Linked DNA regions of Pelodiscus sinensis. The protein of the gene in region 2 interacts with the protein of the main gene of each other region in a pairwise test. Links are inferred from orthologs where the notes say so. Each region holds a gene or a part of one and is shown on either strand. Other genes may lie near its edges.

Region 1 (7,510 bases), on a different chromosome or scaffold from region 2:
GTGGAGCGTGTTCCCAGTGGAGGCCACATTCAAAGGATCCCACCCATGGGCTGCATGTTGAGCCCTGCATAAACCCAAACTGCACCGTGGGCCACAAACAAATGGGCTGTGGGCCACATGTAGCCCATGGGCCATGTGGTGAGTAGCCCTGATCTACATGATGGAAGCTGGCTTCAGGTACTGGTCTCTGTTAACGCAGGCTATAAATCAATCTGTTTCCCAGTAGCCTTTTCACTAGGGATGTTAAATTTCGATTAATCAGCTAATCGAGCAGTCGATAGAATTTCCATCGACTACTCAATTCGTCGATAAAGGGAGTGCTCGCTATCCTGCTGCGCCTCTGCCTTTGAAATGTACGAGAGCCGCGGGCAGCTGTTGTATATTTCAAAGGCAGAGGTGCAGTGGGGAACCTGCGCAAGTGGGGACGGAAGCAGTCCCTGATCGTGTGAGGTCCCGACTGCTGTGCCTCTCCATGTACAACAGCTGCCCATGGCTCTTGTACATGTCAAAGGGAGAGGTGCAGCAATTGGGATGCCGCCAGAGCAGGGACTGCTTCCATCCATTTCCCCCGTTGTGCCTCTGCCTCACTTGCCCCTTTGCCGCACGGTGCTGGGAGCCACCAGCTTTTAAGCTAGATCCTCCCTGCACCTGCTCCTACTCCCCCGCCCTTGGTGCCTCTGATACAGAGGCAGCAAGAGGGCAGGGGGAAGCAACTAGTTAAGTAGTGACTCGACTACTCGATAATCCTAGGCTTATTGGGTAGTTGACTAGAAGCTTACCTCCCTACTTTTTACCAACCTGATATGATGTATGTGCTATGTTCAAATGCATCATAAGACATACAATGAGTAACACACAACTTCTGAATCAGCACAGGCTCCATGGGAGGAAATCCTGTTGCTCACAGGAGCTAATAGACCTGAAAGTGCTCCTACAGCAATAATGTTTTCAGTGCTTTGGAATAAGTTCCAGTTTATCACACTCTGTGGGAACCTATTACAGATACTGTGGATACAGTCAGCCTGTGTAATGCTGGTGAAAGTGACTTCCTGCTTCCAAAACAACCTCTACTACCCAGCAAGTAAAATAATCTGTTTCACAAACTTAACCAGCAGAAAGTCTCAGAGGGGTCGCTGTGTTAATCTGTAACTTTTAAAAAGCAATGAGTAGTCCTGTAGCATCTTAGGGCTCATCTAGACTACGCTAGAGTGTCAAAAGAGGATATGCAAATTCCATGAGAATTTGCATATCTTCTTCTGATCTCACTTTCAAAAGCTCCGCTTTCAAAAGTGAAAGACATGGCTTTTTCGGCGAAACACTCCTTTGTCGAAAAAACATGTAAACTTCATTTTTTGAGGAAGAGCAGCTTTTCAACAAGGGGGAAGAGGTGTCACCGAAAAAGACACATCTCAACTACTTTCACTTTTGAAAGCTCTGCTTTCGAAAGAGAGATCGGAAGAAGATATACAAATTCCCGCAGAATTTGCATATCCTCTTTCGACACTCTAGTGTAGTCTAGATGAGCCCTTAGAGACTAACAAATATATATATATTGTATCATGAGCTTTCATGGGCAAAATCCACTTCTTCAGATGAGCAGAGTGGAGAAAAAAGGGGGCACTTCACAATATATAACAGAAAAAGAAGGGAGAGCGAGAGAAAAGAAAAGAAAAAAAATCCGTCAATTGTAGTGATGGTGCTAATGAGGCTATTTGAGTGGGCTGGAAGTGTCCCTTACTTAGCTTTTCATGTCAATTGTGTATTGAATATAATGGCGTGTCCAGTTCATGTCTTTGTTCAGGTCATGAGAGATAGTGTCAAATTTGCATATGAAGGCAAGTTCCGCAGAAAGCAGGTAAACATTCGAGCAAGTCTGGTATATATTCTCTCCATTAGAGGGCAGCATTACACCTACTGTAAACTGGGGCAGAGATGTGAATGGTTAAACGGGTTTACCAGTTATGGTTAACCGGTTTACCAGTTATGGTTAACCGATGGCCTGGCCAGGATGGAGTGGCTCCCCCGCCCCCATTTAATTAGTCAACCAGTAAAATATAACATTTAACCAGTTAATGGAGATTTTACATCCCTAACCTGGAGCCTATTCATTACACACAATGAATTATAGTATACACAATGAACTGTATTATATTACTATTGTTATTACAATTGCAGTAGCACTCAAAATGTGCTAGATGCTCTCTAAATATAGATGAAGACCTAGTCTTTGCTGGGCAAGTGTTTAAAACCAAGAAGGGGTGAGTAGGGGGTTGTACTGGTGACATGAAACTGATTTTGAAAAAATTAATTACAAGGAGCCCAAAGTACACAACAGCTGAATGTTACTAAATCTGCCAAGAGGTTTCCTCTTGTAAAGAGCTAATCAATGGGAATATTTTAAGGTATTACTGAGCCCCGAGAATGCATTGGTTTGCAGAGGCAAAGCAGTTTGGACAGGGCCATCCAAACTTTGCTCATCAATAACTTGGTAGGAGCCTGAAGAGCTATAAAATGGAATAGACTCTATATGCCTCAACATTAATTAGAGTTATTAGTTATTAAGATATGGCCTATGGAGGAGACAAGAATCTACATGATGTGTTTCACTTTCATCAGCGGAGGTTGCTCAGATCAAGATGGTGCATGGGACAACAACTCTGCAGACACTTCAGTGACTCTTTGTTTGAAAAGCATAATCAATGATTCTGGACTAAAGTAAGTAGTGTTTTGATTCTTTTCTACCTCTGCAGATTAAGCATAAAGAAGCCAGACACCAGAAGCAGGAAGAATCTATCCCAATGGATGTGTCTGCTTCATAACGATGTGAACAAGATGTTGGGCAAACCCAAGTATGACTGCTCTCAGATGGACAAACGCTGGCGAAAGGGCTGGAAGGGTGGTTCCTGTGTCTAGATTATAGAGATGCCATTGGAAATAAGACTGAAGCTATTATCATTAAAATAAAATTAAGAACTGAACCTGGTGCAATATAATTAAGAACACCACAAGTAAACACATGTGGATGTTTTTCCTCTCTCTCTGAAATGTTTTTATTCTCTCAAGAAGCTTACTATTTGTCTCTGCAACACAGAGATCCATGCTGCAACTGAATTCTCAAGGAAAAAAATCCAATTGTAAGTGATTATGAAGCTGCTAAGACTTAAGACCTTAGGCTGGTCATGGGAACAAGTTCATAAATCACAGCAGAAATGCTGACAAGTTTTGCCTTTTTGTTTCCTTTACTCAGGGATGCCTGTGTCTTAGACCAATTAATAGGGACTAGAATAATGAAGTCACCTTTAGCCCCAATTAAGTGTTTGAGAACATGTGGGATTATAACATTTTTGTTAAAAATAATTAAACATTAGGCTGTCCCTGCTAATGGCAAACATGTATTTAAGTGGTTATCCTGTGTTGTATTTGCCCAAAACAGCTTTGAAACTTCAGCCATTTTGGGACTTCTAGCTAACGGTTTCACAATCAGAATTTTGTAAATGAGAAAATGTTTTTTTTCCATGTATGCCAAACTCATAAATGGCCGCATAATTTTTTTCAAAGTCAGTTTTCCTGCTCAGGTTCTCACTACAGACAAATCTATGTAGGTCTTTGTGGATTATTTTATCCTATTAAAAATCAGTTCTGTGTATGGGCCAGATGCAAAGCCCAAAAGAAGACTATGAGAATCTTTCCACTGATTTCAACAGGCTTCCAATCACTTTCTATGGATTTAATACATTTAAATATTTCTAAAACACTTAAGTCAGTGGCGGGGGAAACCCACGCCGTGCAATAACTGTTTCCAAACTGAGCGCTCATATGGTTATGCTGAACAGCCTTTGGTGCATGTTAGTGAATGTATCTATTCTTTCCATTTTCCTGCCTGTTAAGTTAGGAGGGGTACCCATTGTGCATTTAGGCAAGCACTTAGGCTAGGGGTGGGTAAATACCAGTCTATGGGCCAGCTCCAGCTCCCTAGGATTAACCCCCGGTTGGCCGCCACAATATTCACCTGGGCTTCTGCACATACAGGTAGGTGTCTGCAGCTCCTGTTGGCCATGGAACACCAATCCCGGCCAACGGGAGCTGCGGGAATTGGCGTCCCAGTCCGGCATCTCTTGGCCAGGAACAGCGCCCTGGGGCCAAGGGGAGCTGCACTGGCCAGTACCTGGAGAGGTAAATACAGCGGCGGTGGCCCACCACGTTGTACTGCCCAGCCCTGACTTCAGCTCAGGGTCTGCTTGAAATGCAAGAGCCGCACTGGTGGCAATGGGCCAGGCCTGCACGCCAAGCACCGGGGGAGGCCAGGCTCCCAGGGCCTCTGCTGCTCGGATGCTGTCCAGAGCTGACACCGGGCTTTCCCCTCAGGAGGGGCCACGCTGGGGGGTTACCACAGAGAGGGGGGGCCCCCCAGGGACGAGACTCTCCTTGTCTTCCTGGCCCTCTCGGTCTCCTCGTCCGAGGCCCCGCCCGGCCCTTCCCGCCGCCTCAGCCCCGGGCTCGCCGAGCGGGGGAAAAAGGCCACCCGGCCCAACATGCTTTGCGGTTCCAAGATGGCGGCGCCCAGCGAGAGCCCGGCTGCCGGCCCCGGCGCGTTGCCTTTCCCGCCGGGCGCCGGGCCGGGGCCCCGCAAGAAGCCGTGCCGGGCCTGCACGGATTTCCGGAGCTGGATCCGGGAGCAGCGGAAGCAGACGGCCCCGCCGAGCGGGGTGAGGGGGGCCCCCTTCGGGAACGGCCCCGCCGCCTCGCCCCACAGGCTGTGCCTGGAGAGCCCCCACCCCTCACCGGCAGGGATTGGGGGGCTGGCCGCGCCTCCCCAGGCTGGTGGGGGGTATGAATGGGAACCTGTGCCTCCCCCCCCCCATGCCCTTTCCCAAGCCATGGCTGATGGGGGAGTATGAATGAGAGACACCCAACCACCCCCTCGTGAGCAATGGCTGATAGAGTCCAAATTAACCCAAATTAACCCCTTCCCCGGCTGATGCGGGAGTATCCCTGTCCTCCCCCTGCACTGCCCTTCACAGACCGTGGCTGATGGGGGAGTATGACTAGGAACTCCTGTCGTTCCCCCCTTCACAGGCCATGGTTAACAAGGTGGTAATTAGGCACCTTTTTAGAACTCCCCTTCACAGGCTATGGTTGATGAGGGAGTAAAAATGAGAGACACCCACCCATCACCTCATGAGCAATGGCTGATAATAGAAATGAACCCTTTTATGCTTCACTAGCTGTAGTTGATAGGCGAGTATGAAAGACACACACACTCCAGAACTCCCTTTCATAAGCCCCGTGGTTCACGGAGTACAAATGAGAGACCGCCTCAGAACTCCCTTTTATACTTCCCAGTCAACCACAGCCTGTGAATGAGACCTTCCACACCACACTGGTATTGGTTGATGAGGGAATATGAAATGAGGACCCAACCTCTCAGAAGGAATGGGGGGAGTACAAATGACCTTCTTCTCCCCCCCCCCCCCCCCCCCCCCCGCCCCGCGTGAGCAGTGGTTGATGGAAGAATGAGAGTCACATTTGTCCCAGATCTCCCCTTTGTAGGCTATGGGTGAAAGGGTAGGAATAAAACACATTCCTGGAACTCCCTCTTCACAGGCAATGGTTGATGGGCAGAAGGAGTATGAGACCTTAGGCAAATTAACCTCCCTGTGCCCCCTACCAAAGGTGAATCATATTTGTCCACCTCATTTAAGGAGGTTTTATTAGCTAATATCTGTATGGCCTCGGATTGAAGATGCTCCAAAACCACAGAGCATTTGGTATTAGTGTCATATGATACTCATTTTTGTAGTCTTAGTATAAATGTGTACACATAATCTTCCTGTTTTTCTGACCCAGGAAACAGATGTTGAAGAGGAGAAGGAGAAGCCTCCAGATTGTCCTCTGGACAGAGAAGAACTTGGAAGAAACACATGGTCTTTCCTTCATACTATGGCAGCATATTACCCAGATCATCCCAGCAATGCCCAACAACAAGAGATGTCACAGTTCATTAACTTATTTTCCAAGTTTTTCCCTTGTGAAGAATGCGCAGAAGATCTGAGGGAAAGGTGAGGCTTTTCAAAATATATCTGCAGATAAGAGAGAGTTGCCAGGTATCTAGTTTTAAGGGACCTTGAGGATCCGGCCAGCATTGCCAACTGGCCCATTAAAAGAGCTGAGTTAAGATCCCTACTGCTCTGGCTCCATGCTGTTCCTGTAAGTGGCCACCAAGTCCCTGAGGCTAGGCACTGAGGTGGCCAGGGGCTAGGAGGCTCCGTGCTTTGACCCTGCCCCAAGTGTCGGCTCCAGAGCTCCATTTGACTAGGAAGCGTGACCAATGTGAGCTGCCAAGGGCAGTGCACAGAGCTTCTCTGGCTCCAACCTAGCAGCCACTTCCTAAGAGCCATGTTAAGCATCGTCAAGACCCTACACCCCAAATCCCCTTCCTCATCCCAAGCTCTTCCTCCCCAGCCCCACCTACAGCTTGAGCGTGACCAGCCTCACCCTCTCTCAAACCCCTACCCCACCATGGAATCCTCTCCTGCACCCTGAATTCCTATTTTGGCCCCACCCAGAGCCTGCACCCCCAGCCAGAATCCTCACCCCCGGTGGACTCCAACTCTCTTCCCCGCTATATGTCGCTTCGTGTACATCCATTCCACACTAAAGTCGTTGATGCTTGTAGGAACTGATGCATTATAAGTCCTCCCATTTCCCACTCTTACGTTGCGTGCCAAAAAAACCCAAACAATTTGTGCAAATGGAAGTTAGCCATGGGGAAAAAAATTCCCAGCTTTAAGTTGTTTTGCTATAAGTCCCAAGTTTTTTGGAATGTATCTTGGACTTATAACGAGGACGGCCTGTATTGTGCAATTAGAAAGTTGGCAATCCTAGTAAGAGATCTACTTAAAGTGTTGGGCTCTAATAGCCTCGTTTTAGATCAACATTTGTTGGTATCTTTATAACTATTTTGTATTGTATTTTGTGTTACAAAGATGTTGTTTTATGATTGAATAAATCATAAACAAAGACCCAGGACATACACATTCAGAAGACAAACACCCAACTGCTTTCAGACAGCACAGTAGCTCCCAGAACTAAATGGAGTTTGGGTTGTTTGCTGGTTCAAATCTCGCTCAGATGAGTAGTGACAGTTTTACCATTGTACAGCTGTTTGGTGGCCTTTTGGGGGGCTTAGTGTCACTTTCATTAGACAGGTGTCTGCATCACAAAAACACCACAATAATTGGCTGTGGTGTGACATTCTGAACAGAGGCTCATGGGTCTCATGACTAGATGGACTGTGCGGTTTGGTAATCTCTCTCTCTATATATAAAAAAGTTTTTCCTGCCATGTGACGTAGAGAGCAGGGCGCAGCCCCCTGGTACTTTAAAGTCTTGTTCTTGTCAACAGTGAGATTCTAGGAAAAGTTTATCAGATTCCAAGAAGCAAACTTAAGAATCTCTGGTATCAAATCAGTGTCCTAACCTCGCAGGCAAAGAGAACTGCATGAAGAAAT
Region 2 (7,878 bases):
GGGAGGGGGAGGAAGGAAGGTAAGTGTCTGTGAATTGATGATATTAAAGGTAGGGAGAGTGGGATGTTTGTGAGTTAATGGTATTACAGGTGATAATTGGGGAAACTGTCTTGGTAATGGGTGAGATAGTTCAAATTCTTGTTAAGTCCTTGTTGGCAAGTGTCGAATTTTAACATGAATGACAGTTCAGAGGATTCCCTTTCAAGTGCAGATGTAAAAGGTCTTTGTAGCAGAATGCAGGTGGCTAAGTCATTTAGAGAGTGTCCTTTCTGGTTAAAGTGGCAAGAAACTTTCTTGCCACTTTAACCAGAAAGGACACTCTCTAAATGACTTAGCCACCTGCATTCTGCTACAAAGACCTTTTACATCTGCACTTGAAAGGGAATCCTCTGAACTGTCATTCATGTTAAAATTCGACACTTGCCAACAAGGACTTAACAAGAATTTGAACTATCTCACCCATTACCAAGACAGTTTCCCCAATTATCACCTGTAATACCATTAACTCACAAACATCCCACTCTCCCTACCTTTAATATCATCAATTCACAGACACTTACCTTCCTTCCTCCCCCTCCCCCCCCCCCCCGCATCCCCCTTCTGTTCTGCAATGTGATTTGTCCTTTTCATATTTGTTCACTTTTTTTAATTGTATCCTTTGGTATATATGGTTGTGACTATTTTCTTCCACTATTTGATCTGAGGAAGTGGGTCTGGCCCACGAAAGCTCATCATCTAATAAACCATCTTGTTAGTCTTTAAAGTGCTACATTGTCCTGCATTTTGCTTCAACTACCCCAGACTAACACGGCTACATTTCTATCACTATCTGTCACACTCTTCCCCTTAGCTTGCAAGCAGAACCAGGAAACCCCCTGAAATGGCAAGTGAGAGCTTACACTTATAAACTGTTTCAAAACACCCCAAGCCCAAGGAAGTGGTGAATAGGCCCATGCTGGCCACCATAAAAGCCTGAAAGCTGAGGCATGCCAGCTGGGCACCCACCTCCTTTTCCAAGGCTTCTTTGGAAATCTGAGTCTAAACTCTCCTTTTCTCCTGCCAGAGCTGGGTGAAAGGTCCTTTGTAAAGGGAAAAGTAAACCAGGTCCACACCCATATTTTTGTCTGCCTTGTTTGGTTTAAAGAATTGAAAGGCTTTTGAAACCGGCTCTGCTTGGTTTTATACGTTTAGAAAAGTCTCCTTTTTTGCGGAAAGGGTTCCGAGAACCAAGTGAGGGGCAGGAGATGGGAGGATCTTTAACAAAGAGAACATTCTTCCCAACTGCTTACCTAGCGTTTGAGTGAAATCAAATTTAAGCTCAAATGCTCACCTAAGACTGGAAAGGATCTTTTCATTTTTTGCTTTCTTTGCCAGGTTGCTGTTTAAACACATTTATAAATGAGGCTTTGCCTCGACTTGCTTTTTTTTCCAGTCAAATATGTAACCGAAGCTCCTGTATTTACCTAATAGTTCCTGGCAGCATCTATTTGTAATGAGGAAAATAAATGTTTGATTTTTGCGGCTTGAACAGCAAAACACAATAGCTGAGGTGCCAAGTAGGGTTCGTTCTCCCCTATCTTTGCCAGCTATGCAGTTTGATTGCTTAGTTTTGAAAGGGCAGTGGAGGAGAGAACAGAAAAATCTTTGCAGGCCTGTTCCTGAATTAGTGGAGAATTGGCAAGATTATGCCATGCAAAATAATGAAACTGGATTAAGATGGGAAGTGGCTTTGAACCAGACTCAGTCAAACTTTTTGTTGTTGTCAACACCAATTTAACTCAAACACCTATGGGGAGAAAAACTTTCTTTGTTAAAGATACAACAGTCCCTATGCTTAAAGGCTGAAAGACACTCACAATCTACATTGCTGGACTCTGCAAAAAGCCTTAGGGTTGTTCTTTTTAAAAAAAATCCCTACTTTGATGAATCCGTTCAACTATGCGAACACGAAGGCTGCAGGCTCAGCAAAGCAGAAAGACCAGTCTTCCCAGAATTCCTCAGTGAGTGTCCGTTCATTCCACTCTGGAAGCATGACATCATCAGAGCATGCTCCCATTGGCCGAGCAATACCGCCGAGGGCAGATGCAAACCCAGCTGACAGACGCACAGGGCCAATCATCAGATCCCACCTGGGTTGGAAAAGCCTCCCTTGAATGAAAACTGAAGAGGGTATGTGCACGAGCGTGCATAAGTGTGCGCATGGGTGTGTGCTTAGAGATTGTACAGCCTGAGGGCCCTATTAGCTCACTGGGTCTGCCCTGTATAAGAGAGGCTGCAGAATTTCTCCCTAATACCTGATTGGAGTTTTGTTTTAAAGGGCTGCGGGGGGATATGAACTGTGGACTAATCGTGATGAATCCAGGGAAGATTCAGCCCTGAATTCTGAACCCCCTTTGCTGAATAATGGAAACCCCACGTGTCATAGGCCCTGACTCGATGGTTGCTCCGGGGCTGGAGTGCCCATGGGGAAAAAATGGGGGTGTGAAGCATCCACCGACCCCAAGCTCCCCGATCTGTCTCCCTCCCCCACCCCGCACCTTTCCTGTGCCAGTGGCCCAGCTGACCAACTCCTCCCCCTCCCTTCCAGCTCTTTTGGAATGCTGAGGACAGCTGATTCCTGGTGTTCAGGAAGCGCTGGGAGGGAGTGGGAGGAAGATGGGGCAGGCTTGGAGAGGAGGCAGAGTGGAGGCGGGGGCTTGGAGGAAGGGGTGGAGTGGAGGTGGAGTTGGGGCGGGGCTTAGGGGAAGGGGTGGACTGAGGGCATAGAATCATAGAATACTAGGACTGGAAGGGACCTCGAGAGGGCATGGCCGGGGCAAAGCAACGGTGGAGCATCCCCCAGCTGGAGAGGAAGTCGGTGCCTATGGCTTGTGTTATATTTATTTATAATACAGGTTGAACCTCTTTGGTCCGGCAACCTCCGTGGTCTGGCATGATTTTAGCTAGCCAGATGTCTACTGATCATGGGTGTGGCCAAGTTTCCCACGGTCCCATAAAGTTTACAGCCACCCGTCCTGGCTGTCAGTGTTCTGTGCTGCAATTTAGCTCTCCCTGAATGTCTTCTCAAAGCCCCGCCAGCAGCGGCAGTGTTGCTAATGCTGCTAGACAGTGTTGACCTCCTGTAGTCTGGCAAATTCTCAGGTTTGGCACCAGCCCGGTCCCAAGGGTGCCGGACTAGAGAGGTTCAGCCTGTAGCAGGGCAATTTAAGGCCCAAACTGAGATCAGTGCGTCAACTGGGCGGGATGTTGCACAGACACACACAGGGAGACTCTGCCCCAAAGAGCTGCCAGTCTGGCCAAAGACAGGCTTACAACTGGTTGTCGTTTTACAGACAGGGAAAGGGAGGTTTGGCGCGATGGTGCGGCATGTCGATGGTCACCCTGGGAGCGGGTGGCAGAGCTAGAAGCTGCTCGCAAAGGTTCTAGTCCTGACTCAGCCCCAAGGCCATTCTGCCGGTTAATTAGAGGAGGGCAAAGGCCTAACAGCTTTTGGGGTCCATTGGGTGGCTGATGTGGAGGGAAGAGGAAGCTAGTGTGGCGGGGGCGGGGGCTTAGATCCGGGGAAGTTGGTGGGGGCCATGTTGCTGCAGTAACCCAGGCACTGAATGTGGCTCTGGGCAGGAGCTGTTGTGGGTTTTGTAGTGAATCAGGCACCTCTGAGTCAGTGGAAAAGCTGAGCCGGGCGTGGAGGCCGGAGGGGAGTTTGCTGGTGTTGGTAATGGCCCTTGTCGTGTACCCTGGAGGCCGGCCCACCTGTCCGTGCTGCCAAGTGCACGCTCCAGACAGTTAGGAGGGATTTTCATTTGAGCAGCTCAAATGAAGCTTCCTGCTGGGGCCTCGTATTCCTCCATCCTGGGGTTCCTGCCTCACGAAAGCCCTGCCACCGAGAGAGGCTGGAGATCGCAAAGCTCCTTCATGATTAAGACCCCATCTTTTTGCTCTCTCTGTGTGCAGCACCTAGTGCATCTAGGAACCACTGTGATGCAGAGGAGGCCTTTGACTTTGGATCCCTCGGGGCTCCTTCCTTAATTGGCGGGGGGGTGGGAGGTGAATCGTGATTAATGCCTAGCACCCATTATCCGTTTGCCCTCCCCCCTAAAGGGCTGAGTGAGCTGCTGTTTCAGAGTGCTCGGCTTTAGCCAGTCAAGCCTCTTGCAGGGAATAGAGGGGGGCACTGTTCTGCATTGGAAGGGGGAAACTGAGGCATGGAGACTGGCCTGAGGTCACCAAATGAGGCAGCAGCAGAGCCTGGAATAGGACACAGCAGGGTCCCTCTGTCGCCGATAACTATCCCCCTCCACCCCCGCAGAGGAGGGGGCTCTTTTTGTCAGATCCCCATGGCAGCTTGTTTGGTCATGCTGTGCCTGGGAACAGTCTAATGCCAGGACAGGGTAATCCTGCTCCATTGTTACCTACCCCTGCAGACCCCAGGTTTGGCCTGAAATGGGTTGGGATCCAGGGATTCTGTCTGAAGCCGTCCATTACGATGGAGCCCTGGGCCTGCCCCTGCCTTCCTCAGCCCAGATATAGCAGCAGGCAAACCGGGGGTAATAGGAAGCATCCTCACTCCTCATCCCCCAGCCCAAACCAGGGATGCCCAGAGGATTCAGGAGGTCTGGGGGAAAGCAATTTCGGGGGGGGGGGGCTTCCTGGCACTCCCTGTCTCAGACTTCAGACATTCTCATGGGGGCCCCTGCAGGGCCTGGGGCAAATTGCCCCACTTGTCCCCCTCCCCCGGGCAGCCCTGAGCCAAACACACACACTTCTGCCACTTTAGGGCTTTGTCCACAGGGCGGAGAAATGGGCACTAGGACCCAGCAAATTCTCACCAGGTGGAGTCAGGTGTTTATGCAGATAAACCAGTTTAGGATGAGCAGTCTGGGTGGTAACTGGTGTTGTCCTGTGATCTGATCTGCAGGAAGGGAGGAACAGCCAGGAAAATCCACTGAGGATCTGTCTTCCAAAGAAGTGGGGGAAAACCCAGTGAACTTCTGCGTTTTGGGGAAGGCTGGAACAATGGGCTCCTACGTGGACTATGGTGAGAAACTCCAGCCTCAAAGGTGAGCTTTGATGCCAGTCAGGGCGGATTCTGATCTCGGTTAATCCAGACCAGTGGTTCTCCACCAGGGGTACATGAACCACGAGGGGTAGGCAGAAGTCTGCCAGGGGGTACATCAACTCATCCAGGTATTTGCCTAGTTTTACAACAAGCTACATAAAAAGCCCTGGTAAAGTTAGTAACAACTAAAATTTCATACCACCAATGAGTTGTTTATACTGCTCTCTGTGCAATACCCTGAGATGGAAGCCCGGTATTTATATTGCGTTTGATATATGTTATAATTACAGGTTAACCATGCAAAAATCAGCAATTTTTGAGTAATAGTGTGGTGTGACTTTTGTGTGCATGTGTGTCTGGTTGTGTTGTGAGTAATTTTTCAGTGAGGTAAAACTTAGGGGCATGCAAGGGATCCAGTAGTCTGGAAAGATTGAGAGCCACTGATCTGAAGCGACTCCACTCCAGTGTAAATGGGGTCAGCAGTATCCTATGCTGTTCGAATCTAGCTTGGGAAATTCAGGTTCCCCGGCCGCTGGCCAGGCCAATGAGATGGGCAGCTTCAGGATTCTCTCTAGTCTAGTCTGTGTGTCTCTGGTAGTGCCTATCTGTGCTCAGTGGAACCTGCAAACATCTTTTGCGGGTGTTAAGAGAGGCACCCGGAAAGTCAGGGTGTTACCCTGGGTGTTTTGTGGCTTGACTGACTGTCTCATACTGTGCCTGGCCTTTCAGGCAGGCTGACAAATCCATCTCAGAAAGTGATAGTTTCTGAACGTGGGGCCCAATCCTGTATGATTTTATGAGAAGCAATTCCATTCCATGCACATCCCATTTTCCTGGCACAGCCAAAACTTTACCTGGCTTTAAGTTATGATACAAGGAAGCTGAATACTGAATTTAGTGGTCCTAGCTCTTAGGAGGAGTTCTTGAACAACATACAGACAGACAGACTCTCTCAAATATACAGTAGGGCTGTGTCTAGACTGGCAAGTTTTTCCGCAAAATGAGATGATTTTGCGGAAAAACTTGCCAGCTGTCTACACTGGCCGCTTGAATTTCTGCAAAACACTGACGATCTCATGTAAGATCGTCAGTGTTCTTGCGGAAATACTATGCTGCTCCCGTTCGGGCAAAAGTCTTTTTCCGAAAGACTTTTACGCAAAAGGGCCAGTGTAGACAGCACAATAGTGTTTTCCGCAAAAAAGTCCCGATCGCGAAAATGGCGTTTGGGGCTTTTTTGCGGAAAACCGCGTCTAGATTGGCCACGGACGCTTTTCCACAAAAAGTGCTTTTGCGGAAAAGCATCCTGCCAATCTAGACGTGCTTTTCCGAAAATGCTTTTAACAGAAAACTTTTCCGTTAAAAGCATTTTCGGAAAATCATGCCAGTGTAGACGTAGCCTAGATGTTTTAAATGTAAAATGTTAAACAAAATTAAAACAAAATGTTCCACTTCAAGATGAATGAAACGATTCCTATGATTTGAAACTTTAAACAAAATTTTTTTATTTTCCAAAAAATTTGAGTTTGGATTGAATAAAAAAAATTCCTGCTTTTTTGCACTTGCCAGGGACCTGAAAAATCAGTGATTCCCACAGCTCAATTTAAGATGCTCAGAAGGGGCGTGGGCAAAATCCAGCTCTTGCTGAAATCACAGGCAACATTCCAGTGACTTCAAGGGGCTCCAGGACTTTTTACCTGTGGTGTTCAGATCAAATAGGGGTGCAAGCAATTTCTGGAAATCATGCCCTCCCTTGGGCTGCCTTGTCAAGTTAGACTGGGCACTCCTCACGGTCTCTCTCGTTATTTTGGGGAAGGTCTCTGGTCTGTACTATGCAGGGCATTACATTGGATGATCACAGTGGGGTCCCTTCTGGGCTTAGAATCGATGGATTTGGGTTAGCAGGGTATTCGGGAGTTGAAGCAGGCTCAGCTACTGCTCCCAGGGTGGTGAAAAGACTTGAGAGCCCATGTTAACCTTCAGAAGGGAAGTAGGGCAGAATCACTGGAGAATTATACCGAGACTTGCCCCAGCCACTGCGTGACTTGTTTGTTTTCTTTGAAGGAGGGTGGAGCAGAAAGCCCTTGCGGTGGAACAAAGGAGGGCGGATGTCTCCTTGTCTCTGCACCTCTTTCCTCTGAGAGCAGGGCAAAGAGAGAGGAAGTGGTGGGACTGGAAGCTCTGCCCACAACCCTGTGCTCCTCCCTCATCCCCTCCCTCGCCTTAAAATGAGAAGGAACGAAATAGCAAAAGTTAGTGACCAGCAGTAGGGTTCAGAGTCAACGTGCCGCCTGCCAGTAAAGTGCTTCCCCGAGGATTCTGTAACTTGTCCTGTTGCAACGGCAGGTGCAGCGTTGCCAAGTGGGAGGCGATTCTGTGGGAGCTGGGTTTTAAGCCAGAGTGCTGGACGTTGCACCTGACGGGGGATTTTGTAGCCCATACACCTCCATCAAGTCCACACTGATTCACAAGGGCAGAGTGCATCCTGCAAATTTGCAGACACTGCTTCCGGTAGCAGCCTGGCTTTTCTTTCGAGGTTTCCCATCCAAGTATTGAGCATCGAGGCAGTGTGGCCTAGTGGACAGAGCACACACTGGGAATCTGCGCTTCATTTGCATTTTCTATTTCCCTCATTTGCATTCCTCTTTCGAAAGAGGAATGTAGTCTAGATGCACCCACTGGGACTTGGGGAGCCAGCATTCTCTTCCTAGCTCTGCCACTGGCCCGCTATATAACCTTGGGCAAGTTGCTTTGCCTCACCGTGCTCAGTTTCCCCTCCTGTAAAATGGGGATGGTAATACTATTGACTTATTTTAAGACCT

Evidence for each region. The genes of interacting proteins can lie anywhere in the genome.
Region 1: the proteins of BNIPL (region 2) and FAD-linked sulfhydryl oxidase ALR interact in a two-hybrid assay, tested with the Homo sapiens proteins (2 studies listed by BioGRID and IntAct). The link is inferred for Pelodiscus sinensis from reciprocal best matches to the Homo sapiens genes BNIPL and GFER.

The regions. Positions count from the first base shown.
Region 1 is NC_134726.1:37,661,232-37,668,741, forward strand, and holds the start of FAD-linked sulfhydryl oxidase ALR, read left to right. Parts: upstream 1-4,502; 5' UTR 4,503-4,532; coding exon 4,533-4,706; intron 4,707-5,551; exon of another isoform or gene 5,552-5,553; coding exon of another isoform or gene 5,554-5,673; intron 5,674-5,847; coding exon 5,848-6,059; intron 6,060-7,510. Other genes in the region: FAD-linked sulfhydryl oxidase ALR-like, read left to right, coding at 2,751-2,913.
Region 2 is NC_134734.1:18,844,057-18,851,934, forward strand, and holds the start of BNIPL (bcl-2/adenovirus E1B 19 kDa-interacting protein 2-like protein), read left to right. Parts: upstream 1-4,873; 5' UTR 4,874-5,016; coding exon 5,017-5,060; intron 5,061-7,878. UniProt on the Homo sapiens protein: May be a bridge molecule between BCL2 and ARHGAP1/CDC42 in promoting cell death.